Linked DNA regions of Sus scrofa. The protein of the gene in region 3 interacts with the protein of the main gene of each other region in a biochemical or structural test. Links are inferred from orthologs where the notes say so. Each region holds a gene or a part of one and is shown on either strand. Other genes may lie near its edges.

The links. The genes of interacting proteins can lie anywhere in the genome.
Region 1: of the proteins of GSK3B (region 3) and EIF2B5, one has a biochemical effect on the other in vitro, tested with the Homo sapiens proteins (2 studies listed by BioGRID and IntAct). The link is inferred for Sus scrofa from reciprocal best matches to the Homo sapiens genes GSK3B and EIF2B5.
Region 2: the proteins of GSK3B (region 3) and MUC1 form a complex in vitro, tested with the Homo sapiens proteins (2 studies listed by BioGRID). The link is inferred for Sus scrofa from reciprocal best matches to the Homo sapiens genes GSK3B and MUC1.
Region 4: the proteins of GSK3B (region 3) and SREBF1 form a complex in vitro, tested with the Homo sapiens proteins (2 studies listed by BioGRID, with this or other methods). The link is inferred for Sus scrofa from reciprocal best matches to the Homo sapiens genes GSK3B and SREBF1.

The regions. Positions count from the first base shown.
Region 1 is NC_010455.5:122,058,460-122,064,439, reverse strand, and holds the start of EIF2B5 (translation initiation factor eIF-2B subunit epsilon), read right to left. Parts: upstream 4,033-5,980; 5' UTR 3,940-4,032; coding exon 3,739-3,939; intron 2,059-3,738; coding exon 1,934-2,058; intron 833-1,933; coding exon 647-832; intron 556-646; coding exon 378-555; intron 289-377; coding exon 208-288; intron 1-207. UniProt on the Homo sapiens protein: Acts as a component of the translation initiation factor 2B (eIF2B) complex, which catalyzes the exchange of GDP for GTP on eukaryotic initiation factor 2 (eIF2) gamma subunit.
Region 2 is NC_010446.5:94,624,215-94,630,375, reverse strand, and holds the start of MUC1 (mucin-1), read right to left. Parts: upstream 4,033-6,161; 5' UTR 3,954-4,032; coding exon of another isoform or gene 3,870-3,953; intron 3,421-3,869; 5' UTR 3,356-3,420; coding exon of another isoform or gene 3,305-3,355; 5' UTR 3,163-3,304; coding exon 1,774-3,162; intron 1,379-1,773; coding exon 1,323-1,378; intron 1,179-1,322; coding exon 1,048-1,178; intron 901-1,047; coding exon 779-900; intron 696-778; coding exon 546-695; intron 1-545. UniProt on the Homo sapiens protein: The alpha subunit has cell adhesive properties. Can act both as an adhesion and an anti-adhesion protein. May provide a protective layer on epithelial cells against bacterial and enzyme attack.
Region 3 is NC_010455.5:140,133,977-140,140,023, reverse strand, and holds the start of GSK3B (glycogen synthase kinase-3 beta), read right to left. Parts: upstream 3,916-6,047; 5' UTR 2,823-3,915; coding exon 2,735-2,822; intron 1-2,734. UniProt on the Homo sapiens protein: Constitutively active protein kinase that acts as a negative regulator in the hormonal control of glucose homeostasis, Wnt signaling and regulation of transcription factors and microtubules, by phosphorylating and inactivating glycogen synthase (GYS1 or GYS2), EIF2B, CTNNB1/beta-catenin, APC, AXIN1, DPYSL2/CRMP2, JUN, NFATC1/NFATC, MAPT/TAU and MACF1.
Region 4 is NC_010454.4:60,739,294-60,745,343, reverse strand, and holds the start of SREBF1 (sterol regulatory element-binding protein 1), read right to left. Parts: upstream 4,033-6,050; 5' UTR 3,924-4,032; coding exon 3,905-3,923; intron 2,577-3,904; coding exon 2,145-2,576; intron 1,748-2,144; coding exon 1,560-1,747; intron 1,478-1,559; coding exon 1,340-1,477; intron 1,263-1,339; coding exon 1,041-1,262; intron 448-1,040; coding exon 333-447; intron 155-332; coding exon 1-154.

The DNA.
Region 1 (5,980 bases), about 18 Mb from region 3:
CTATCAGATACTATGACAGTAGGACATGGGCCAGAATCCTCAAAGGGCTGCCAAGGAAATACTGGGATCAAGATGATAATACCTATTTGCTGTGGAACAGATGAGAGCAACAGGGAAAAGAAATATACCCTGGCTTTCTACAGGGGTGATAGTAAACCCTCAGAGTTTTACTCTCTGGATGTGCAGCCGTGGCCCTGAAGAGCTCACCTGAGGAGAGCAGATGCTGATATGACAGTCCAGTAGATCATAGCGAATCTCCACTCCATCTCCACTGCCCTGGAATAAGCTCTGTGGGAGAGGTTACAAGGACTTTAACTTGCCTTTTCTGCTTGAAGCCTGTCACTTTCCCACCTCAAGGACCCTGTACACTCACACACCAGAGGAAAAGAAAAACGTCGGAGGCCTTGGGTCTTCTGGAAATGGAGAACCCGGTTTGTGGCACTATCCACAGCCACTACCACGTTGTCCTCATGGCAACGAGTTGGGTGGCTGGGGGATGACTCCTTGAAGATCATCGTCATCACAGATACATTTTTTTCTAGCTTCCGTCTTAACCTATAAAGGATAGGAGGGAGAGAGTTGCAAAAAAGCAGTCTTAGGGCTCTGCTGGTTCCAAACCCTGTCTCTACCGTTTCCCCATCCTGACCTGTGTTCTTCCAGGGCTCTGGTGACATTGATGTTAGAGATGACATCCCCATACACCAGAAGGAAGTCAGAGCGCACCAAAGCCTTAGCATCAACATCACGGAGAACGTCCCCCAGTGATCTATATAGGTCTGATGTTATTATTCGAACCACATTGAGGGATGTAGGGCGACACCACTTGGATTTCCTAAAGGAAGAGGGGTGAGGGGAATGAGTAAACCAAGCATAAGAATCACGTAGAGCGTCCCTATTTTCCACCCATTCACACCCATTCAACATTCATGCTCCTTTGCTATGGCTCTTTTTGGGTCCTTGCCAGCATCCTCAACTTCAAAGACATTTATGAACCGTAATGAATGGTTTCAGCATAGTTTGTCACTAGTCTTGTTTTATGGGCTAGAGAAACATGGTTATTTCCTCTCCATACCCTGACCCCTGTCTCTAAACATGGATTTGAACTAAACATCCTACTGAGAATTAGCTTATACAAAGCACCCTGGGAACACACTTTTCTCTTTCTGAAGCTCATACTGTCTGATGGAGAGCATGCTAATACCCTAGTCTTTATTTCCTAAACTTCAATAAATCTTGAGATTCACTCTTTCCAGAAAGATTTCATCACACATTTGTTAAGTACTAACAAAGTTTGGTACTAAGCTAGGCACTGGGAATACAAAGATGAAGAAGAGCTCAATATTTCATAGCTCAGTGGAAAAGCAAATATGTTACTTTTGTAACTTGCATACTGGAGCCACTAAATAAAAAGCAAAAACCTACTGGAACCAAACTTTATAAGTAAGATACAGAAAAAACCCAAATGCTATTCTTTAACTTTTTTTTTTTTTGTCTTTTTGCCATTTCTTAGGCTGCTCCCGTGACATATGGAGGTTCCCAGGCTAGGGGTCAATTCAGAGCTGTAGCCACAGGCCTACACCAGAACCACAGCAACACGTGATCCGAGCCGTGTCTGCAACCCACACCACAGCTCACGGCAATACCGGATCCTTAACCCACTGAGCAAGGCCAGGGATCGAACCCACAACCGCATGGTTTCTAGTCGGATTCATTAACCACTGAGCCACAACAGGACCTCCAAATGCTATTCTTTAATCTCTATCACAGCTTCAGCTCCTCACCTGCTAAGAGAATGCCCTTAGTTAAAGCTTATGATGGAATTCAAATAGATATATTTTACTCCCTTACAATTCCCTCTTATTTAGTTATAACCATTCTAAGGAACCTGGGGAAAAAATGGTGAAACATAGAAAGAAAAGTTGCAGAGCCTTACAGTAAATGTTCCTTGATTTGAGCAGCCTTCCAGCAACAAAAGACAAAGGTTTCCTGTACACCTGTGGCAGTCAGAAATTCCAGAGTGTAGTCAATTAGTGCCACATTGGCCAGGGGCAAGAGGGCCTGGAGGGTAGGAGATGAAAAAAAGTTTGAAGTATTGAATCCATGAAGGCCTTCTGGGTACCATTCCTTCCCCTTCTTCATCCACAATTTTCACTCCACTATCAGTGTGTTTAAACACCAGCTTTAATTTATTTTTCCTATTTAAAAGTAATCAGGCTCCTGCCTTTGATGTTCATGGCATGCTCTAAACATCAGTCTAATGTGTTGCAGTTCAGACATAGTAAGCATGGAATCTACATGCTTAGCATCAGACACAGAGCTGGTACTGAACAGGAGACTACTCCTGACAAAGGGTAACACTAGAGATCAATCATATCTCCAGAAATTTAAGCACCACTGAGGCCTTTTTCTCTACAAAATTTCTTTTCTTTTCTTTTCTTTTTTTTTTTTTGCCATTTCTTGGGCCGCTCCCGCGGCATATGGAGGTTCTCAGGCTAGGGGTCTAATCGGAGCTGTACCTGCCAGCCTACACCAGAACCACAGCAATGTGGGGATCCCAGCTGCGTCTGTGACCTACACCACAGCTCACAGCAACGCTGGATCATTAACCCACTGAGCAAGGGCAGGGATCGAACCCGCAACCTCATGGTTCCTAGTCGGATTCGTTAACCACTGCGCCACGATGGGAACTCCTAAAATTTCTTTTCTTGATCCTTTTCTAAGAGGCAAGGGCTAGTCATCCCCATCACTTGTCCAAAATAAACAGTCATTAGACTATTTGGAGGAAGTGAAGAGTCAAAGAGGACTTTTCCTGAATTGAATGCCAAGTCCCTTTCTTTGAACTGGGGACTGCTGAGTGACCCAGCAATCCCTAGGACTAGCTGAGGCCAATTCCCCAGCTTCTAGACAATGCAGGGATGTTGGCAACCAGCCATTAAACCCGTTCTGTTCTTCTTTTGACATATGGCATTGGCTCTCATTAAAACCTGGGAAGAAAAAAAAGCACACTTGGAGTTCTCCTCGTGGCTCAGTGGTTAACGAATCCGACTAGGAACCATGAGGTTATGGGTTTGATCCCTGGCCTTGCTCAGTGGGTTAAGGATCCGTTGTTGCCATGAGCTGTGGTGTAGGTGGCAGATGCGGCTGGGATCCCGTGTTGCTGTGGTTCTGGTGTAGGTCGGTGGCTACAGCTCCGATTAGACCCCTAGCCTGGGAACCTCCATATGCCGCGGGAGAGGCCCTAGAAATGGCAAAAAGACAAAAACAAAACAAAACGAAACACCAAAAAAACCACACTATACAAGTCTGCTCTTTTTTTTTGGGGGGGGGGACGACAATATGATCTCCCTTTTGGAGGCAAAAGGAGGTGACATTCCCTTTCATCACTCGATCTTATTATCCTCTGCATAAAGCCAGCGCAGCCTCCTCTTGAGGCACTGAATCCCAGAATGAAGGCTTCTCACAAGCACTGCTTCTGCATCAGCCCTTTGCAGAGCTCCCAAACCTGAGGTGGACAGCACGACGAGTGCTCAAATCTGCCAGCCACTCACTTGGTCAGGCAATCGTCAGGGCTTTAGACGGTCTCCTCGCCTTCCTCATAATCAGATAAACCCGATTTCTGAGAGAGAGAGTGGACACAAGTCCTTCCAGAGCCCGCCTCACCAGGAAGCCGAAGGGATAACTTGCTATAGCCCCGCCACCTCCAGGCCCTCTGGCAGCTTCCAAGCGTGCGGCGCTCACCCGAGGCTGGTCCTTGGAGATAGGGAAGAAACGGCGGTTGAAGCTGTCGGCCACCAGAACTGCTTGTAGGGGCGGCGGCGGTTCCTCCTCTGCCCCTCTGGCTGCCCCCCCGCCGCCGCCGCCGCCACCCTGTCCGCTGCCGCTGCGCTTGTTGGCTCGACCAGGCACCGGACCAGGCGGCGCCACCACAGTAGCCGCCATCTTCTTCTCTCACGGCCACCACTTCCGCACGGAAACTGACACGGCAAGCAGTAAGGGACAAAAAGACCTAGCACTCGAAACGCGAAGGACTAGAGAAGGAAGGGCGGGAGGAGCCGCGGAGAGAGGAGTGCGCATGCGTCTTCCTCAGCCCAGAGGTTGGGCAGGGAGGAGTGAGGTCTGCGGCCCAGCGCTGCGGAAGGTGACCTGTTGAGGCGCCTGGGCCTGGGGTCCTATGGACTGCAGAGTCTATTGGCAAGTAGAGTCGGCCGTCATTTGTACGTGAGCAAGCTGAGGTTCTTGCGGGATAATGAGACTTCTGGTCTTTGCGAAACGGCCAGAACCTTTCTGGATGTGTAATTTTCTCTGCCACCCCCCCACCCCAGCCACCTGAGCACCTCAAAAATTGTGGTCCTCCGTCTTTATTCTCGTCACCTAATGTGACCTGGCACCTTGGGGAATTCAGAACTGAGTCAGACATTCCTATCCCTCAGGGGACTAACAGTCTATGTGAATACAGAACGCGGAATAGTAGAGAGAGTAGTAACTCTGGTAAAGCGCTGATTGTGGACAGGAATGATACAAGCGTTATTGCACTTACTTCGTCACACATCTTGGAGAACCTTTTACTCATTCATTCAACAAACATTTCTGGAACTCTCAGTGGGATGAAGTTCATTCAGCTAGTAGATGGAAGAACTGGTATTGGAACCCAATCTGTAAGACGTCATAGCTCTACAATCTTTCTGCCAAGTTTTGCATGGCCAAAAATTTACTATTTTTTGACATCTTCATTCATTCATTCAGCATGTCAAGCATTTATTGAAACCCCATGGAGTGGGTCCAAGAACACTGTATTATTATTTTTCTGTCTTTTGTCTTTTTAGGGCCACACCCACGGCATATGGAGGTTCCCATGATAGGGGTCAAATAGGACTTAGAGCTGCCAACCTACACCACAGCCACAGCAACGCCAGATCCAAGCCGCGTCTGCGATCTACACTACAGGTCACGGCAACACAGGATCCTTAACCCACTGAGTGAGGTTGGGGATCGAACCTGCATCCTCGTGGTTCCTACTAGGATTCCTTTCTGCTGCTCTACGATGGGAACTCCCAAGAATACTATAAAATTGAGTAGATCCCCAAGGTAAGCAGCAAACCTTGGTGACAGAAGTGCAAAGGTGCTCGAGGAGCAGCAGCATTTGGGGAAAGAGGCAGTGGCTGAGCTGGTAAGCCAGGCCTGCTGAAGCTTGGGACCTCGGGGATGTGGTGGAAGCGAGGTGAGGCGGGTTGGGTGTCCTTTGGTGGGCAAGAAGCTTTCCTGCAAGGTACCTCACTCTTTTCGTTGGAATTCCACCATCCTGCAAAGTTTCTGCACAATTTGTTCCCACCCGAGGGCTGTGTTGCACGTCAGGATTTGGGGTTGGAAGGGCTGAGATTTGTTGTTTTCCCTTTGGGGCAGCAGCTGGACCGGTGGTACTCAGGCACACTCCTCGTGGGTCCAAGGAGTCTCTCATTTCTTCCCTTTACCAGTTAATGATGGCGTTAAGTGAAAGACCATTTCCTAAGAATTTTGGAAATTTTAGCCTGCAGAAGGCAAGTCAGTAAAAGTTTTCAATTAAGTGAGTGTACATTGTAGAAGGTGTTGGACTGTGCTACAAATCCACAGGAAAAAAGAAACAAGAAGGGTGAGTAAACAGGACTAGTAATTTGCGAGCACGCACAAGCGGTGGAGTGGAACTGTGATGAGAGTATGAAAAGTAGGTCCAATTGTAGAAAATTTTAAATGACTTGTGACACTTCTGAAAGTGTGAGAGGTAAATCCAGGGTTTGTAATTCTGTAGACTGGTAGCCGGATAGATAAGGTTTTAGTGGGTGGGCCTTAGGGAAACTCTTTCTGGACTCTTTAATCTTTTTTTTTTCTTTTTTCTTTTTTGCTTTTTAGCGTAGCACCTGAGGCATATGGAAGCTCCCAGGCTAGGGGTCGATTCGGAGCTATAGCCGCTGGCCTACACCACAGTCATAGCAATGCTGGATCTGAG
Region 2 (6,161 bases), on a different chromosome or scaffold from region 3:
AGAGGGAGGAGGGATCTGGGCCCCCCTCCAATTCCTAAGAACCGCAATTCCCAGAGTCCCCACCCACCGGCACCCAGGCTCACCCCGCTTGGTGAGACTTCTTCCTCAATTCGGAGACCCCTTGGCCCCACCAGCCTGTCTCAATCTACCCTCCATTCTTGGGAGACAACCAGAGGGCACAGGGGCTCATTCCCTGTGAGTCCTGCATAAGGGGCTCCCCTGGGTGCTGTGCCCCACTCATTTCTCCTCTGGGCAACCCAGGAAACAGCCCAGGCACTAATTCCTAATTCCGCTGAGCAGTGACTGCTCTGCTGGGAGGGCTGGGAGTGGGGGGCACTCTCTCTCGAGGTCCCCTTTCTCCCGTGGTCTCTGCCCCAGACCTTTCCCCCAGAACTCCTCTCACCTCCTCCCCCATCCATGTCAGGCCCTCACAGTCAATTCACCTCTCACCTCTTCTAAGTTCTCTGGGCTTCCCCAGTACACCATCAGAACCCCCGCCCAGCCACAGCCTCTGCCTCTCTCTGCCTGGGGGGGCCCATCCTCACCTGCTCATAGGGGTTCCGTTTGGTACTGCCGGGGGGCACATAGCGCCCATGGGTGTGGTAGGTGGGGTACTCGCTCATAGGATGGTAGGCATCCCGGGTCGGAAAGATGTCCAGCTGCCCACAGTTCTTTCGTCGGCACTGACACACAGCCTGGGGAGATAGGAGGTTGAGGGGGACCGCGGAGGGCCTGCCCACAGGGGGACCCTGGTCAGGGCTAGGGACTGAGCACTTACCAGGGCGATGACATAGATGATGGCCAGGGCGACCAGAATACAGACCAGCACCAGCAGGGCAATGCCCCAGCCGGGTACCCCAGACCCAGGCTGAGCAGAGGAAGGAAATGGTGCATCAATCACTGGAAGGAAAAGCAGGGCTCAGGGCAGTCTACCAAAGGAGGTGACCCTCCCCCTACCAGCACCAAGAGAAAAAGCAGCCCAGATGCCAGAGAAAGACTGGCCCGGGGCAGTGTGGGGCTGGGTGGCAGCTGGGGAAGTGGCCTCACCACTAACTTCACTGATGGTCAGGTTATAGGTGCCTGCTTCCGCTTTAAGCCGATCAAACTGTGTCTTCAGGTTGTGGGCAGCGGCACTGTCTTGGAAGGCCAGAATCAGCTCTACCAGTACAGATCCTGGCCTGGTCAAAGAGAAATGGGCAACTCAGCCACGGGGCCCAGCTTCTGGGTCAGCACATCCCTCACAACCACAAGCATGCCAACCGCTGCCCACAGTCATGACACTGTCCACCCATCCCACACAGAGTCCACCCCGAAAACTGTACCTGAACTTGATATAAAAGAGTCCCAGAAGCCCGTCTTCTTTATAAACCTGCAAAAACTGAGATGAGAGGGAAAGGGCTAAGTTTTTGTTTGTTTGTTTGTTTCTTTGTTTTTTGTCTTTTTTTTTAAAGCTATTTCTTGGGCTGCTCCTGCGGCATATGGAGGTTCCCAGGCTAGGGGTCTAATCGGAGCTGTAGCCACCGGCCTACACCAGAGCCACAGCAACGAGGGATCCGAGTCGCATCTGCAACCTATACCACAGCTCACAGAAACGCCAGATCCTTAACCCACTGAGCAAGGCCAGGCATTGAACCCGCAACCTCATGGTTCTTAGTCGGATTCGTTAACCACTGTGCCACGATGGGAACTCCAGGGCTAAGGTTTGATGCAAGGGGTTGGAAAAGTTCTGAAGTCTGCTTTAAGGGAGCATGGTAGAGGAAAGGCAGTACTCACCAATTCAGAAATCCTTCTTTGCAGATCCTTGTAGTAGCTGGTGGTGGGATCTTCCAGGGAAGAGGTAAACTGGAGGTTTGTAATGCGAAGATACAGGAAGATCAAAGAGACCATAACCGAAGATTGCTGAGAAGTCTTAGGATGGGAGGAGGTGGGAGGGACTATGCTATGGTTAGTGCTGTTGGCAATTGTTCTGGTAATGTGGCTGGCAAGAGTGGTGGGAGTATCAGAGTGGTTGCTAGGAACTGAAGATGGAGTACCTTTGCTGACTGGGGACATGGTAGCCTTGGAAGAGGTGCCCATGTGTGTTGGAGTGACAGTTGAGCTTGAGGCAGGGCTGGTGGCTGGGGTGGAGGTGCCAACATGGACTGGAGTGGTGACCAAACCTGATGCAGGGCTGGTGGTCGGAGAGGAGGTCCCATTGGTGGCTGGAGATGAGGTGCCATTGGTGGTTGGAGATGAGGTGCCATTGTGGACTGGAGTGGTGGCCAAACCTGATGCAGGGCCGGTGGTCGGAGAGGAGGTCCCATTGGTGGCTGGAGATGAGGTGTCATTGGTGGTTGGAGATGAAGTGCCATTGTGGACTGGAGTGGTGGCCAAACCTGATGCAGGGCCGGTGGTCGGAGAGGAGGTCCCATTGGTGGCTGGAGATGAGGTGCCATTGGTGGTTGGAGATGAAGTGCCATTGTGGACTGGAGTGGTGGCCAAACCTGATGCAGGGCCGGTGGTCGGAGAGGAGGTCCCATTGGTGGCTGGAGATGAGGTGCCATTGGTGGTTGGAGATGAAGTGCCATTGTGGACTGGAGTGGTGGCCAAACCTGATGCAGGGCCGGTGGTCGGAGAGGAGGTCCCATTGGTGGCTGGAGATGAGGTGCCATTGGTGGTTGGAGATGAAGTGCCATTGTGGACTGGAGTGGTGGCCAAACCTGATGCAGGGCCGGTGGTCGGAGAGGAGGTCCCATTGGTGGCTGGAGATGAGGTGCCATTGGTGGTTGGAGATGAAGTGCCATTGTGGACTGGAGTGGTGGCCAAACCTGATGCAGGGCCGGTGGTCGGAGAGGAGGTCCCATTGGTGGCTGGAGATGAGGTGCCATTGGTGGTTGGAGATGAAGTGCCATTGTGGACTGGAGTGGTGGCCAAACCTGATGCAGGGCTGGTGGTCGGAGAGGAGGTCCCATTGGTGGCTGGAGATGAGGTGCCATTGGTGGTTGGAGATGAAGTGCCATTGTGGACTGGAGTGGTGGCCAAACCTGATGCAGGGCTGGTGGTCGGAGAGGAGGTCCCATTGGTGGCTGGAGATGAGGTGCCATTGGTGGTTGGAGATGAAGTGCCATTGTGGACTGGAGTGGTGGCCAAACCTGATGCAGGGCTGGTGGTTGGAGAGGACATGCCAGTTGTGGTCCTGGATGAAGTGCTAATGTGGTCTCTGGTAGGGCTGATGGTCAGAGATGAAATGTCAGTCTGGGGCTGGAGTGCTGACCAAGCTTGAGGCAGGGCTGTGGGTGATGAGTGAACTGCTGGTTGCGCTCACAGCACTTCCATCAGTGGAGCTGGGCATTGGGCTGCTTTGGATATTTGAAGTCTGTGTATCTCTGCTTGTGTGGCCAGAGGTTGTAGGAACTGCTGTCTCAGAAGAGGAGACGGCAGCTGTAAGAAGTTGGGGTTACAGAGTCGGATTGGGGGACAAGTCAGCACAAGGAGAAAATATACTCTCTGGCATCTGGAGAAGTCATACCAGGAGGATTTGGGGAGTGGGGCCCCTAGGTCAGCCCTCCTCCTCCTCCTCCCCTGCTGGCAACCCCCCTCTCTCTTCCCATATCCCCCTGCTCCTGGCTTATCTCTTTCTCCGCTGCCAAGATTTGCCTCTCCAGACTTCAGCCCCACCCCCCGCCCCCACCAAGCTTCTCTTTGGGACATCCGCCTGCTCTTGGCACCCACTCTCCTGGGGGGCTGTCTAGTCTCAGCCTGTCCTTGGCCTCTCTCCTTTATTCGGGCACAGACTGGGCCATGCCTGTCTGCAACTTCTGCCTCTTGGATGCTCTCTCCCAGGAAGCAAAACTCACAGCAAGGCTGGGAAGACCCCAGGAGCAGAGCACCCCCCCCTCCCCGGGCCCCTCACCTGTAAGCACTGGGAGTAGCAACAGCCCGAAGAAGAAAGGGGCCTGGATGTCCCTTGTCATGATGGCGGTAAAGTGGTGGGGAGGGGGCAGAACAGACTCAGGCAGGTGCTGCGCATGAGGTGGAGCAGGCACAGGCGCCCGCTGCTTTATACCGGTCCCCCGCCCGCCCTCCGCTCGGCCAGAGCAGGTGACAGGTGACAGAGCTCCGCCCCCTCCCCCTTTCCCTCCCTCCTCCCTCTTCCTCCTCCTCCCCAACCATTCCTGGCCCCTCAAATAGGGTACGTGGGCTCCAATCACTCAACCCTCTGACATGTTTGTTCTTCAGCTGGCCTTCCCCTTTCACCAACCACTCCCTGGCTCCAGAAGGCGGTAAGACGGAGCCTGGGACCTGACCTGGGTCCTCTTGGCTTCAGTTTTACCCCCAGGACAACAGCCAAGGTGAGAAAAGTAACAGAGAAAGTGGGCTAGGTCAAAGTCCTGAACCGCAAGGTGGGGGGTCCGCAAGGTGGTGGAAGGTCCCCCACACCACTGCCCCATTCTCATTGGGTCCCTTGCAGTCCCAATCTGGGGGCTGAGAAAGAAGAGGAAGGCTTGATGACGAATGAACAGGTACCAGTTTGGGACCCCCCCCCTTCCCCCACTACTTCCCGGAATAGCCCCACCCTTCTAACAGCTCCCTGCGGCGCTCCACACGCAGTTTTACCCCGAAACCCAGTCCCCGCCCCTGCCGGACTTGCCAGCAGCCCGAGTCCTTCCAAGACTTTCTCCCGAGAAAGGGGCGGGGAAGAAATTTCCATTAAAGACGGCGAAATCTGCGTTTCACCGAATCTTAGGGTCTTCCCCGGTTCTCCGCCTGGTAGCGGCGGCTCGCTGGTCGGGCTCTCCTGCCCCCTAGCGGTTACCTGGAGCCTCACCGGGCCTGCATGAGCCGGCTGAGGGGCAGCCCCGATCCGCGGAGAGGAGGGTGGCGCTGCCTAAGTGGGGGCAGAGAATGGCTTGGGAGGGCAGAGCCCCGGCCAGAAGAGTCGGTGGGTTGCTTGGACAGTGGAGGGGAGGAACAGACAGTACCACCACTGGAGGGGCTGGAAGCTTTTGGGGGGGGGGGACTCTGAGGCGCGTGGGGGCGGTGTCTGGAGGAAATGGCGCTAAGTGGGTGGGGTCTGAGTTACGTGGAAAGGGGCACTGAAGTATTTGGGCGAGGACATCGGAATGTGGGAGGGGGAGTGGAACAGATGAGTTATGTTTTCAGGAGGCAGAGAATAGGTGGGGCAACCGAATGGTATTTGGGGGCACAGAACTATCCTTTGGGGAGTGGTATTTGGGGCACGTAGGCACAAGGTGGTGGTGAGGAGTACAAAATTGTGTGTGATGGTGCGCGATTTGTGAAGATCAAGGGGTATTTTGAAGGGCAGAAACATATGGGATCAAGGAAGAATTTGGAGCCACTCGGCACGTGGAGCTTATCGGGCCCCATCCGGAGGTCCTGGGTTGCGGTCTTGGCGCATAGAAGCAATTACGTCCGCATTAAGAAACAATTCTTAGCCCCAAAGAATACAAATTGAGAAATAAACTTTAAGGACACTTCGGTGCGGCGGGATTGGAGGGAAGCCCCAGGAGGAGAGGAACGACAGTTGCAGCGCGCGCTCGGCTTTGTGCGGCCGCCCGACCCGGGGGCGGGCGCGGGGCGGGGGTGCGTTTACGTCTACGCGCCCCGGCGCTAGTCGGAGAGGCGGGGAAGACCCCCCCTCAACCCGCCGGCTAGAGAAAGCGCGAGTATCTAGGTGGGCGGCCCCAAAACTTCAACCCCCCGGCGTTGCCAGGCAATAGCCATTCAGTTCGGTTGCTGGGACACGCGTCACCATGGCGACGGCTCCGCGCCGCGCAGTCTGAGTATTTAAAGAGCAAGCGCGCGCAACGCCCGGGCGTCGGAAAGCGGCCTTCCGGGATACCGCGGTCTCCCGTTCTCGAACCTCTTCCCCCTCCCCCTTACCACCCCTTTCACTCTCTTCCGGGCGCCAAGTCTCTCTGCCCTCCAAGGTGAACCCAGCTCCCCAGCGCGTCCCCGGTTCTCGGGCTGATCCGGCTTCAAGCGGTGGGGAGCGGGATCCCGGGCCCCGGGCGGGCGGGAGGGACGGGACGCGGTGCAGTGTTGTTCTTTCCCCTGCCAATATTGCACTCGTCCCGGCCTCCGGCCCCCCCGGCCCCCCGGCCTCCCCCTCACCCGAGCAGGGCAGCCCCAGCACTCCTGGCTCTCGATCCCGCTGCTCT
Region 3 (6,047 bases):
GCGGCACCCGCAGCAGATGGAGGTTCCCAGGCTAGGGGTCCAATCCGAGCTACAGCTGCCAGCCTACACCACAGCCACAGCCACACCAGATCCGAGCCTCATCTGAGACCTACACCACAGCTCACGACGTCACCAGATACTTAACCCCCTGATCGAGGCCAAGGATCAAACCTGCAACCTCATGGTTCCTAGTCGGATTGGTTTCTGCTGCACAGCGACAGGAACTCCCCATCTTCAAATATTTTATTCAGCAACCTCCAGTAAATTCCAAACTTTTAGAGGCTCCCTCTGACCTCCATCAATGAATGTTAACACATTTCTCAAATTCTCTTATTTTCCTATTTAGGCCCCTTTAAATTCAGATTTAACAATCCGCTTTTATAAATTAATTGAAATTAATCAAAACTTGTTGATCTGTCATACAAAAATCACCACCTCTGTGCCTCTCTTCATTCCTTCCATCTAGAATCCTTTATGCTTCTCTGTCAATTCAAGTTACAGCCTCCTTTAACCCCTGTCTTAAAAGACACCTCTACAGGAAGTCTATCCTCTCCAACCCATTTACCTCAACCCTTTATTTTTTTTAATCCCTATGTACAAAGCTTTCTATTTGTATTTACATAATCTTGTAGTCATCATGATACTGTTTTCACATTTTGTCCCATACAAACTAAACAACTACCTCAACAACTAAATGATAAGCTTTTCAGGTTAACGTCTATAATTTTTTATGTATCCCTCTTTTGAACAGGAGTCTTTTGGAACACCAGCACTCTAATGCTTAACTACTCCCCTTTCTTCTAAAACATCTTTAAAATTAAGATTGTCAAAAACACATAATTAGCACTGAACTCCAACTTTTTAAATGTTAAGTTGCTGCATGAAGTAATAAAAAAGACACTTTAACTCACACACTTTGCAAGAATTACTCCATTCTCAATCAACACCCACACTATCAAGAATTAAAGCGTCATTTTCAAAGAGAATCCTGGAAACAAAATGAAGTCCCAAATTTTAATATTATAAGCTATTGTTTTGCTCTCTGAAATAGATCTAATAAATTAATTACCTAAAATTGATTATGAGGAGTTTTTTAACTAAGATGAAAAACATACTAACACTCCAGTACCACAATAGGCTCTTAAGTAGCTATTAAAAGATTTGCTTCATCATAGCTGAAAACTACCCCAGAATTTTAAAATATTCCTCTCAAATGACCCCATGAAGTGCTTAGAAAGCTTGACCATTCCCTGAAAGATGCATCATCAGCTTCCCTCTTCACATACCCTGCATTCTCAACTAGCTAGTCACCAAAAAAAAATTTAACTCTCAAAAAAAAAAAAAAAAAAAAATCTACCATTCAGCTATTACCTTGGACTACACTGTCTTAGGCAAGCTCCAAAGGCCAACATGAATCAAATCCTGGGTTCAATTAAGAGTGATTATATTATGCTGTTTAAGGATATAATCAATTTCACATAACAGCATATACTTTAAAAAAAAAAATCTCAGTTCAATTCTCTCCTTCTTCTAGGCAACCAAATAGTTTTTCGTTGTCCTCATCATGCCCCTTTCTTGAGAAATAAGGAAACAGAATAGATATTTTTGTCAAATTCTGAAAGTACGTTTAAATAAACTCTTTAAATTCCACATAAACAGAGATACACAGGAACATCTGACACTTAGTGTACCACTCAACTAGACTTTTCTGCACAAATCTAGCAAGAGGGTCCAGTCTAGTAATAACCCTGAACAGAGCCCAAATTATACCCTATTATATCCAGGACCACAGCATTCTGCAAAACCTATGATGAAAAGGTCTAAATCCATATTCCTCTAACTGGATAGTCTTACCTAAAGAAAACCAATGCAAGAGTATTTTAAACAGTCTTAAGAAGGGACCCCTGAACTTTACATCATTTAGCATGTATGGAATGCAATGGCATCCCCAAAACTGATATATGGAGGGTCAGTGACAGTTAACATTCAACTCAGTATCTGACAACATGACAATACAAATCTCGATCAAAACCAGGACCTACTTCCAAGTTACCTTTTGATTAAATATTAACTCTATAGTGGTAGACTTAAAACAATGCATGTTGAGATACTACTGCTACTGAGTATCAACCTCACGGGTCCCTTCTAAGAGGAGGAATCAATGCTTGCCTGGAAATGTGAAAGTGGTCACTGAGCAAGTTCATCTCTGGATTAAGAACAAATGCGTTGTACAGTCACAAAGGCAAGAAAGAACTGTTAAGAGACTGTGACATTTAGCTCCTCTATTAAGTGTACAAAACTATGATAACCCCTGAGATCTGAGCTAACTATCCCTTGTTCCTAAAGACACACTGCAAAAGCACATAATGGTTTATGAATCTTGTCCTTCGCTTTATTCATGAGAATGAGCCAAGTAAACACTTCCATCACTATTTTAAGATGGAAATAAGTCAACCGCTTGATAAAGCTGGCAAGAAAACTATAAGAAATATTTCAAGTCAAATCATCCAAATAAAAATCATATTCCCTCTATTCAAGGTTAATGAGACCGGGGGAGGGAGTATGGGAGGAGAAAAGAGGGAGCTGCCTCATCCTTGACAGAAGACAGGTTTCTGCCCTTTTCCATTATCTCTGATTGTTATATCAGACATCATATTTTAAGATCCTGGTATTTCAAAGTCTCTTATTTAAAGGGTGAGGTGGAGAAAGAGTGTAAAATAAAATCAATACTCACTGCTAACTTTCATGCTGCCAAAAGCTGAAGGCTGCTGCACTGGCTTGCAGCTCTCCGCAAAGGAGGTGGTTCTGGGCCGCCCTGACATGATCACTGTCTTCCCGAATCACCTTCTTTTCCTTCCTTCCTCCTCTTCTTCCTTTTGTTTTATGTTGGGGTGTTAGGTTAATGATAAACGCAGCATTAAGTTCTCCCACAGGAAAAAAAAAAAGACTTCGTCCTCTTGGCTCTTCACTCCTTTTGTATAGCGACAAAAAAATGCGAGCGATGTATTTCTCCTTGAAGACAGATCAGTACGGATATTTAACATATAGATGATCTGGGACTGGGGAAAAAAAAAATACAATTCTCTCCCCTCCCTTTCCTTGGAGGGTAGAAATGGGTGGGAGGTCCTAAAAAATATGTATCACGTGAAACGGGGGCAAATACTTGATTGAAAATAAGTACTTTGAATATTATATTTTCCTCAGGGATTTTTTTTCCGAGTCAATGAAGAAGGGAAGCGGCGGAAGGATCACGAGTCTCACGCTTGAAAAGAAGGGGGGATGGGAAGGAGGGAGGGAGCGGGAGGGGGTGGCTCGGAGATGCGACGGGAAACGCTGCGGCTCCGGCAGCGGCGGGATCCGGCGGGCTGACGGCTGGGGCCCGGCGAACTGGAAGGCGGCGGAGTCGCGAGTCAGTCAGAGGCGGGCGGTGGCGGCGGCTCCTCTCCTCATTGCGCCAGGAGCAGCTGCAGGCGGCGGCTGGATCCAGCGGCCATGGCGGCGGCGGTGGCGGAGGCAGCTCCCTTCAGACCCCAGGCAGCGGCTCCTCGACTGCTCCCCATACGCCGGGGACATGGGAACCCGGCAACCGCTTCCGTCCCTCGGGGCCCCCTCCCCCGTCCACGGCACCGGCGCGACCGCCCTCCCTCCCGCCCCTCGCCTCTGCTCGGTCTCGCTCAGGAAGTGTCCGCGCTTTGCCCCCAGCCCGAAGCCCTGTCAGTGGCTGCGGGGCCGGCTCCTCCTCGCTTCCTTCCTTCCTTTGTCACTCGGGCCCGGGCGGCGGCGGCGGCGGCGGCGGCGGCGGCGGCAGCGGCGGCGGCAGCAGCAGCGAAAGCCCGCATTCGCCCGGGTCGGGGGCTGTTCTGTGTGAGGAGTGCCGTCTGCGCAGCCGCCTAGCTCTTCCCCAACCCCTCCCCCCTCCTACTCGTCCTCCGCCTCCTTCCTCCCCCACCCAGCCTTACACCGCCCAGCGCCCCTCCGCCCGCGTAACAGGCGTCTGAGAATTGCCGGCCGAGCCCGGCGCCCGCCCCCTTCGGCAGGGGAGCCGAAGCCCGAGCGGAGCCAATCACGGACGTCGTTTGTTTGCGGCTCCTCCCGGAAAAAGCCGATCGGCCAGAGGAGCCAATTAGAAAGTACCACTGGAAATCACGCCCAAGGGCGGAAAGTGCCGAAGATAGCCGACCGAGAAGAAGATGGGTTGGAGTGATACTGTGGCTGGCTGGAGGAGAAATTCGACAATGGCAGCAGCGGCCAATCAGAGTCGCCGGCTCTCACGAAAAAGCTTGAAGAGTTAAGAACTGTGAAGCCGGGAGTTGCTGGTGAAACCGCAAGGCTGGGAGCTGCAACCGCTTTGTAATTGGCCAAAACTCCGCTGGGAGTGTACCTCCCTTGGTGATTGGTGAAGAGAATGGGGCTTCCGAGGACAGTCTGACCAGTCAGGACGTCTCCTCCCTGGCCAAGGTGGGGAGAAGTAGAAAGCGAAGGGAGGGCTCTATAAAGCGCCTTCTCATTGGTCTCAAGCTTTGGAGCTGGAGTGGGGGCAAAAGGGAAAAGGAGGGAGACCGAAAGCGGTAGCAGTAGCCAATCGGCACTCACTGCCCTCCAATCGCGAGACCTAGCTGCAGTGTGATTGGCCTTCGGCCTCGGCGGCGGTCCCGGCAGCCGGGAGAAGCGCGTCTGGGGTTGTGGTGGATGGTCAGACAGGCTTGCCTGTGGCTACTCGCAGCCTGTGTGAAAACCGCAGATAGCGCGAGCCCTTCGCCCGCCAGTGGGAAACTGCTGCAGTCAGCCGGTCGGGGCTCGGAGCGCTCAAGCGAACTGAGGGTTTAAGGGCTCTCTCCCCCTCCCGACTACAGGCTCCCGGCGGGGCGGGGCTCATGTGCGCACAAGGTTTCCCTCCGCTGGGGAGAGCGCGTCTCCAGTGCCAGCTACTTCCCCGAAAGGCCCGGACGGATTCAGTGTGCTTCCAGGCAGGGGTGCGAGTTCTCAAACGCTAAATTGAGAACAAAGCTTCCACCTCTGCGCGGCCGCGCCCCGCCCAAACGCGAAGGCCAGTGATAGGAGTGAGGCCGACAGCCCCGCGCGCGGGCGCGCCCAGGCCCGACCTTCCAGAAACGCCCCTGAGAAATGAGCTCATGGTGGCTGCGCGCGCTCCTCGGGCGCGACTGCCCTCAGCGAAATGGGCCCGAGAGCAGGTGAGGGGAAGTGCAGTCAGGCCGGATATCCTGAAGTCCCTGAGGAAACGGGGAGTCAGAATAGCCCTCCACAGTTTGGGTTCTTTGGAAGTAGGGTGATCTATAAACTAAGCGGTCTTCACACGTGGACCAGTGTTCAGATTGCTATAGTTTGCCTAAGGACAGTGAGGTATGGCTACGTCAGGATAGCAAAAAAGGTAGACTGGACAGTTGCCATCCTTATTTAATTCCGTGGTCCCTGTAGTTTCCACCTGCAGAGTCATCCCTTTCTGTTAAGATGCTGTCACTAGAGAGCACATGTGAAAATACCCATACTTGATCAGATTAACCAGCTATTGCTTTGGAAAACTGTTGAGGAACTTGGGACTAAAGTAGGCTTTAATGGGGGACAGGAACGGTCTGCATAGGATTTGCAAACTTAAATATCTACTGGGACCAGGAAATTAATGCAAATCAGTGAAACTAGCCTGGTGTAAGACAATGGCGAGTGATAAGAAATGTGGCGAACTGGAGTGTCGGTGCTGTAACTGAAGGGAGCAGCTGTTCAGCTGTAGCAGATTGTTGCCCTGAGGAATGTGGATCCAGTGTTCTGAGATATTCTGTACTTTTTTTGCCCCAAGAGAAACCCTAAAGTAGGATTTTTGTATGAAATCTGTCAGTTTTTAAATCCATATTTCCAAACCCTGCAGGCCAACTAAGAACATCCCAGGGTAGATGTGGCCAGCATGCGATCAATTTGTAATCTCAAACCTGGTCAGAGGTTTTATAGCTCAGGAGCAGTAGAAGCTCTTGTTCTTTGCAGTGAACACAGAACAGAAGGTCTTTGGATGCCATGGATAAGGGTAAAAAATGTTA
Region 4 (6,050 bases), on a different chromosome or scaffold from region 3:
CCCCTGCTGCCGAGGGACAAGGGGCTGCTCTGGGAGGGCGAGCCGGCGTCGGAGGGGGGCGGGCTAAGGGTGTCTACCACCTCCGGCTTCACACCCTCCATGGGCACGTCGGTGCGGCCTCCGCTGCTGCAGGACACCAGGTCCTTCAGAGACTCTGCAGGCCAGAAAGGAGCAGGGCTGGGCGGCAGCGCCACGCCCACCTCGCCCCAGATCTGAGCGGAGGGCCAGGCGAAGGCCAAGGAAGGGGTTAAGGGCCCTGGCAGGGCCAGAGCCTAAGGTGAGACCAGGGTGGGGACAGGGCTGCAGGCGGGGCCAGAGAGGCCAGGACTCACTGCTTTTGTGGGCAGCAGTCCGCAGACTCAGGTTCTCCTGCTTGAGCTTCTGGTTGCTCTGCTGAAGGAAGCGGATGTAGTCGATGGCCTTGCGCAAGACGGCGGATTTATTCAGCTGCAGGGGTAGGAGGGGGACAGCACAGGTGGCTGGTCAGGCCAGACAAGCGGGCACCTGAGCCAGAGGGAGCGGGGCTGCTCCGCAACACAGCGGCCTCAGGACCTTTGCACCTGCTATTCCTTCTGCACGGAAGGTTCCTGCCCTGGTAGAACCTACCTGCCAGGCTGGGCCTAAGGGTTGACAGCAGCGTCTGACTAACTGTCGTCACTGTCATCACCACCTTCATGCCTCGCTCCCGAGCCCCCTTCAGACCACGACACCGTCGTGAGGCCCCCCCGACCCCGATTCAGATGTGAAACTCCCACCATCCCTCTTCCTGCTTCGTTCTTTCTGGCACAGCACTCAGGCCATCTGTCCTCTTTGCTGGCGCCCCTGGCACGCTGCTAGGAGCACAGGTGCTTGACAGCGGGGTGCCTGTCTGTTCCTGCTGAGTCCCCAGCGCCTAGGAGAGCCCGCAGCACACGCGCCTCCATGAAGCTTAGCTCAACAGACGGAGCCCCTGGGCCCTGGCTGTCCAGGCTCAGCCCCACCCGCCTCTGCCTTCCAGGCGGCCCTCCCCAGGGCCGCCCTGCCAGGGCCTCTGCCCGCACCTTCGCCTCCGTGCCCACCACCAGGTCCTTGAGCTCGATGATCTTGTCATTGATGGAGGAGCGGTAGCGTTTCTCGATGGCATTGTGAGCCGTCCGCTTCTCACCACGGCTCTGGCCTGAGCTCAGGGCTTTGCCCCCAGCTGCCAGGCGGTTGATGGGCAGCTTGTCAGTGTCCACTACCAGAGGCACCGTCGCCAGGATGGTCCCGCCGCTCACCAGGGTCTGCGGGCCCAGGCACGGTTAGGGCAGGCAGGCATGCATGCAGACCCCATGCCCCCTGCCTGGCCCGAGCTGCCCACCTGCAAAGGTGCTGCCTGCACGGCTGTGCCAGGGGCCAGGGAGCCGATGCCCGCCGCCTTCACAGGGGTCCCCATGTCTGTTTTCATGGTCGTCAGGAGCAGGGAGTCCGCCTTGATGAAGTGGGGCTGCAGCAGGACCTAAGGAAGGCAGAGGGCTCAGCTGGGGGCTCAGGGGCTGGCCGGGACTGCCACCTCCCTGGTGCCTGGCCAGCCCCCTCACCGGGACCTGCTGGATCTGCGAGGTCACAGTGGTTGTTCCAGGGGACACCACGGGGGTGGCCGTGGCTGTCAACAGCTGCTGGGGGGCCGCACTTTGGACCTGGGTGTGCACGGAGACGGGCGGGACCCCGGGCAGAGAGGCCAGCGGCAGGCCAGGCAGCGTCTGTGAGGTGCTCCCTGGAGGGGTCGCTGCAGAGACAAAGGCTGGGGCTGTGGACACAGGCCGCCCTGACCCACCTTCAACCCGCCCCGTCCTGCCCCGTCCTCATCACCGTGTGACCCTGGATGAGTCACCACCCCTGTGGCCTCAGGCCTATCTGGACAGGCCCTGCCTGGGGCTCTGATGCAAGTGTGCTGGCTTCCCAGCCACGCATTTATCTGCGCAAGGGCAGCGCTGCTGCGGACACCAGGGGAGCAGGGGCAGTGCGCCGGCAACAGGAGCCCGGGTGCTGCTAGGGACGGGGGCGCCTCAAGCAGCAGAGCAGGGACCCTGTTCCCAAAGGCCACCAAGTGGGACCTCCAGTCAGACCACAGCAGCCCCCTGACCCTGTGCTCCGCTGCCCCCTCCCTCCACACGCCCCCTTACCTGAGGAGAAGCTTCCAGGAGGGCTGGGGTAGCCCAACACGGGGGCAGGGCTCAACTGCGGAGGGGCGGGGGCTGGAAGGCTCTGGGGCAGGAGAGCCCCAGACAGGGGCTGTGGGGTGGGGGGCTGCAGGATGGTCAGTGGCACTGGCTCCTCCTTGATGCCCGGCCCAGGCGAGAAGGCAGGCACCGACGGGTACATCTTCAGCGGGGTGGGTGCAGGCTGGGTTGGGGACACGGGGGGCGGTGGCGGCGTCCTGGCCCCCCCCAGGAAGCCTTCAAGCGGGGAGCTCATGGTGGAAGGAGGCGGCGTCGGGCTGCCTGGGGAGCTGGCATCAGGACTGGTGGGGTCCGTGCCTCCTGCAACGCCAGCGTAGGGCGCGTCGAACAGGCCGGGGAAGTCGCTGTCTTGGTTGTTGATGAGCTGAAGCATGTCTGAGGGGAGGAGAGGCGGCGTCACGGATCTGCGCGGCCCTCGTCCACACCGTGGTAACACGTGGGAGCGACGCCACCAAGACAGAAAGCCACACACGGGCGCCCATGCTCGAGGACACAGATGTGCCCTGGCCCCTGTGACATCTGGAGCTTTGCCTGGTGCATCAAACAGCCTTGCGACACTGGACGAGCCAGTGCCACGCAGGCTAGGCCCTCCGAGGCCTGGGCCCCGACTACCAGCTCCAGAGCTGCCTCCCCAACCCAGCCCTCTGGGGAGCCCCAGCCAGCCCCTGCCCCGCGTGCGCCAGCCAGTGCATCCCTGCGTGTTCTGGGCACAAGCCCAAGCCCCGTCTGCAGCCAGGCAGCCTCGGAACCGGCCATTTGGGCTTCGGCTTCCGCTCCACAGAAGCAGTCGCTTCTGGCTGTCTGTTCCCCTTCCTCCTCGTGCCGCCTGGGACACCCTCCCTCCCACAGCCCCAGCCCGGCCACGGGCCCTCTCCCCCAGAAGGCAAGTAGCAGCCCGGCTGGGTCAGCCCAGGGCCCTTTAACCCACTGGGGGAGCCACCCACTGGGTCGGAGTGCTCTGCAGGCCCATGAGCAAACTGTGGGAACCCCAAGTGTGATCCCCAGCCTGAGCTTCCAGCTCTGCCCACCACCGACGGGCGGTGGGGTGTGGGCCAGTGGCTTCTGCCCCTGGGCCTCGGTTTCCTCATGTGCACAACAGCAAGATGAAAGCCCTTGTGGCAGGGCAGCCAGAGGTTCCGCAGGCAGGCAGCCAGCGGCAGGAGAGGGGCCTCGACACTGCCTGACAGGTGCTCCGGCGGGAAAGTGACTGCGCAGGGGGCCTTGCGACACCTCCGGCAGAGCAGGGCAGGGGGGTGCCAGGCTGAGCCCTCCTGGGCCCTCGGAGACCCCTTAGCCTACTGGCACAGGCTGCTTCCACCGGCTGGAGCCCCTCGCCCAGGCTTCCTGAGCCCCTTCCACGGATGGGGAAACTGAGGCCCAGAAAGAACAAGCGCCCGAACCCAGGGCTCCACTGTCCGTCCGGCAAGCCCACCATACGCCCCCAAAGGGGGGCCCGAGCGGCCCTTCTCCCTGGGCGGCAGGGGATGTGGGAGAGCTGCCCTCTCGCTTCGGAGCTTGGGGTGGGGGTGACTGCGGAGGTGGGAAGGGCCCGCCAGGTCCCCGGAGAGCCGGGAGCGGGTGCTCCTCCCCTCAGGAGCGGGCTCTCACTCGGAGCTCCGGCCGCCCCCCTGCGCACGGGGGCACGGACCCCACGGCGGAGACGGAAGCTCTGCTATAAAGGGGTGGGGGTCCTCAAAAAATACCTTCGAACGTGCAGTCCATGGTTCCGCGGCCCGCGCCCGCCGCCCCTCGGGGCGTCCAGGCGGCTGGCCCGCCGGTCTCCGCGCGCGGACTCCACCGGCCGAGGGCCGCCGGCCCGCCGCGCTTTAAAGCAGCGAAAGCCCCGAGCGCCCGCCGCCGGCCACGCCCCTCGCCGGCCCCGCCCGGGCCCCGCCCCGCCGGCCGGCCCCGCCCCGGGGCCGCGGGCCGGGCATGGGGTGAGCGCGCGCGGCCAATCAGCGGCCGCGCCACCGCCTCCCGGGGCCCCGCCCCGGCCCCGCCCCACCCCCACCGCGCGGTTCGGGTTGCGCCCCGCGGGGCCGCAGAGGGCCGGGGTTACTCGCGGACGCCGGCCCTTAACCCGCCCCGCGCCGACGTCCGCAGGGTTACTGGCGGTCACGTCCCGCCATCTCCGAGAGTGCGGCCGAAGGGGCTGCGGGGGCTGAGAGGCGCGGGGCCGGGGGTGGGCCAGGGATGGCCCAGCCCTCCGCCGCGGGTCTCAACCGCGCTAAGTCGCAGTGCGCTCCGGGAAAATGGGACGAGCACGTTTCCCTGCATCGACGGGGACAAGTAATGGGTGCAGGCTCAAGTGAGGCGAAGGGCTGTCTGGCCGTGGGGGCGGGGACCTCCCCCTCACGGCAGCCCCAGCGTGAGTCCCCACCCCGTGGGCCGGGGCCGGGCCACTGCCTGGAGCCTGAGCGAGTGCGGAAGGGACAGCCCCACCGCAAGTGCACAGCCAGAGCTGACGCCCTCTGCAGAGGGGCCAGGGTCTGGGGTGGGGGTCCGGGAAGGCGAACCCACCCCCACACTCCCCAGCAGTCTCAGGGGGGAGCCTGACTCACTCGCTGTGGGGTGGGGCAGGCCTTGGGGCGGAGGGTGACAGGCTCGGGGTCGCTGGGGGGCCACCTGGGCCTCTCTCGGCTTCGAAGGTCAGAGCGCCACACACTCAGAGGGACAGAGCCTGGCCAGCAGCCCAGGCTGCCAGCTTGGGCTTTTGCGGCCAAACAGACCCCAGGGCTCAAGCCGGCCTCCAGCCACAGCTGGGCCCAGCCCTGCTCCCTCTCCTGGTCTCCCGCAGCCTTAGAGGGGCCGATGGAGCCGACGGTGGCAGGTGGGGGCCGGTGGCAGGTGGGGGCCGGAGAGCCCTGGCCGGATGCTCTCCCTCTCCAGGAGGCTGCCTCTCCCACACACACGCTCCCCCTTTGCCCGGCTCCTGCCGTGGCCACGGCCGTGCGGGAGGGTAACGAGGGCAGCAGAATTCTCCAGCACCTCCACTTCCCTCTCTCCTCTGCCAGGCCCTCACCCGAAAAGTCACACAAGACATTGCTGTTGGGAAGGCTCTGACCTCGCCTGACTGAGACCAGAAGACACGAGGTCTGAATTCAAACTCACGGCAGGTCCTGTCCTCACTGTGCTCCCGTGTGTGAGCCCAGGACCTGGCAGGTGGACCAGCAGGGCCGTGGCCGGCCGCCCCACCGGAGCCACCTTCCTCTGCCCTTCTCCGCACTCTTGTGCTTCCCATTTCTCACCTGGCCATGCCCTGCCCCAACGCATCCAGACCAAGGAGGCAGAAGGAGAGGCTCCCAGCGGCCCTGCCGCCACCTCCTGGGGCCCACCCCAGGCAGGCCGGGAGACACAACCTAAGCTAAGATGCAGTGAGGAACAGGCACCTGGTGGCATGCAGAGGGCCACCCCTGAACTCATGGCCCGACTGGACTTCCCACCCCCGTGACACACACACATAGAGCCAATTTCTGCAGCAGCCGGGTGCCAGGGCCAAGAGGGGCTGGACCTGCGCCCCAGCCCTCCCTTGCTGTGTAGTCCCAGGGGAGTCCCTCACCCCTGATCTCGGAGGAGGGGGTTCTGGGAGGCGAGAAAGGCGCCCAGGGCACACTGTTTAAGGAAGCTCCCCGCTGTCTCACCCCAGTTCCCGGGAGAAAGGCTGGCCAGGGTTCCCCCCAAGTGGGGCCCAACCTCCAGTGAGCCCAGGCTCAGCTGCCGGCAGGAGGGGCGGCCCGCGTGCCCTTAACGCAGGGAAGAGAGGCACAGGTGGGCCCGCCTGCCCCCCTCCTCACCTTCCCGCCCTCCCCAAGCCAGACCCTCCTTTTCCTCTCCTTCCTCCTCTCCTGC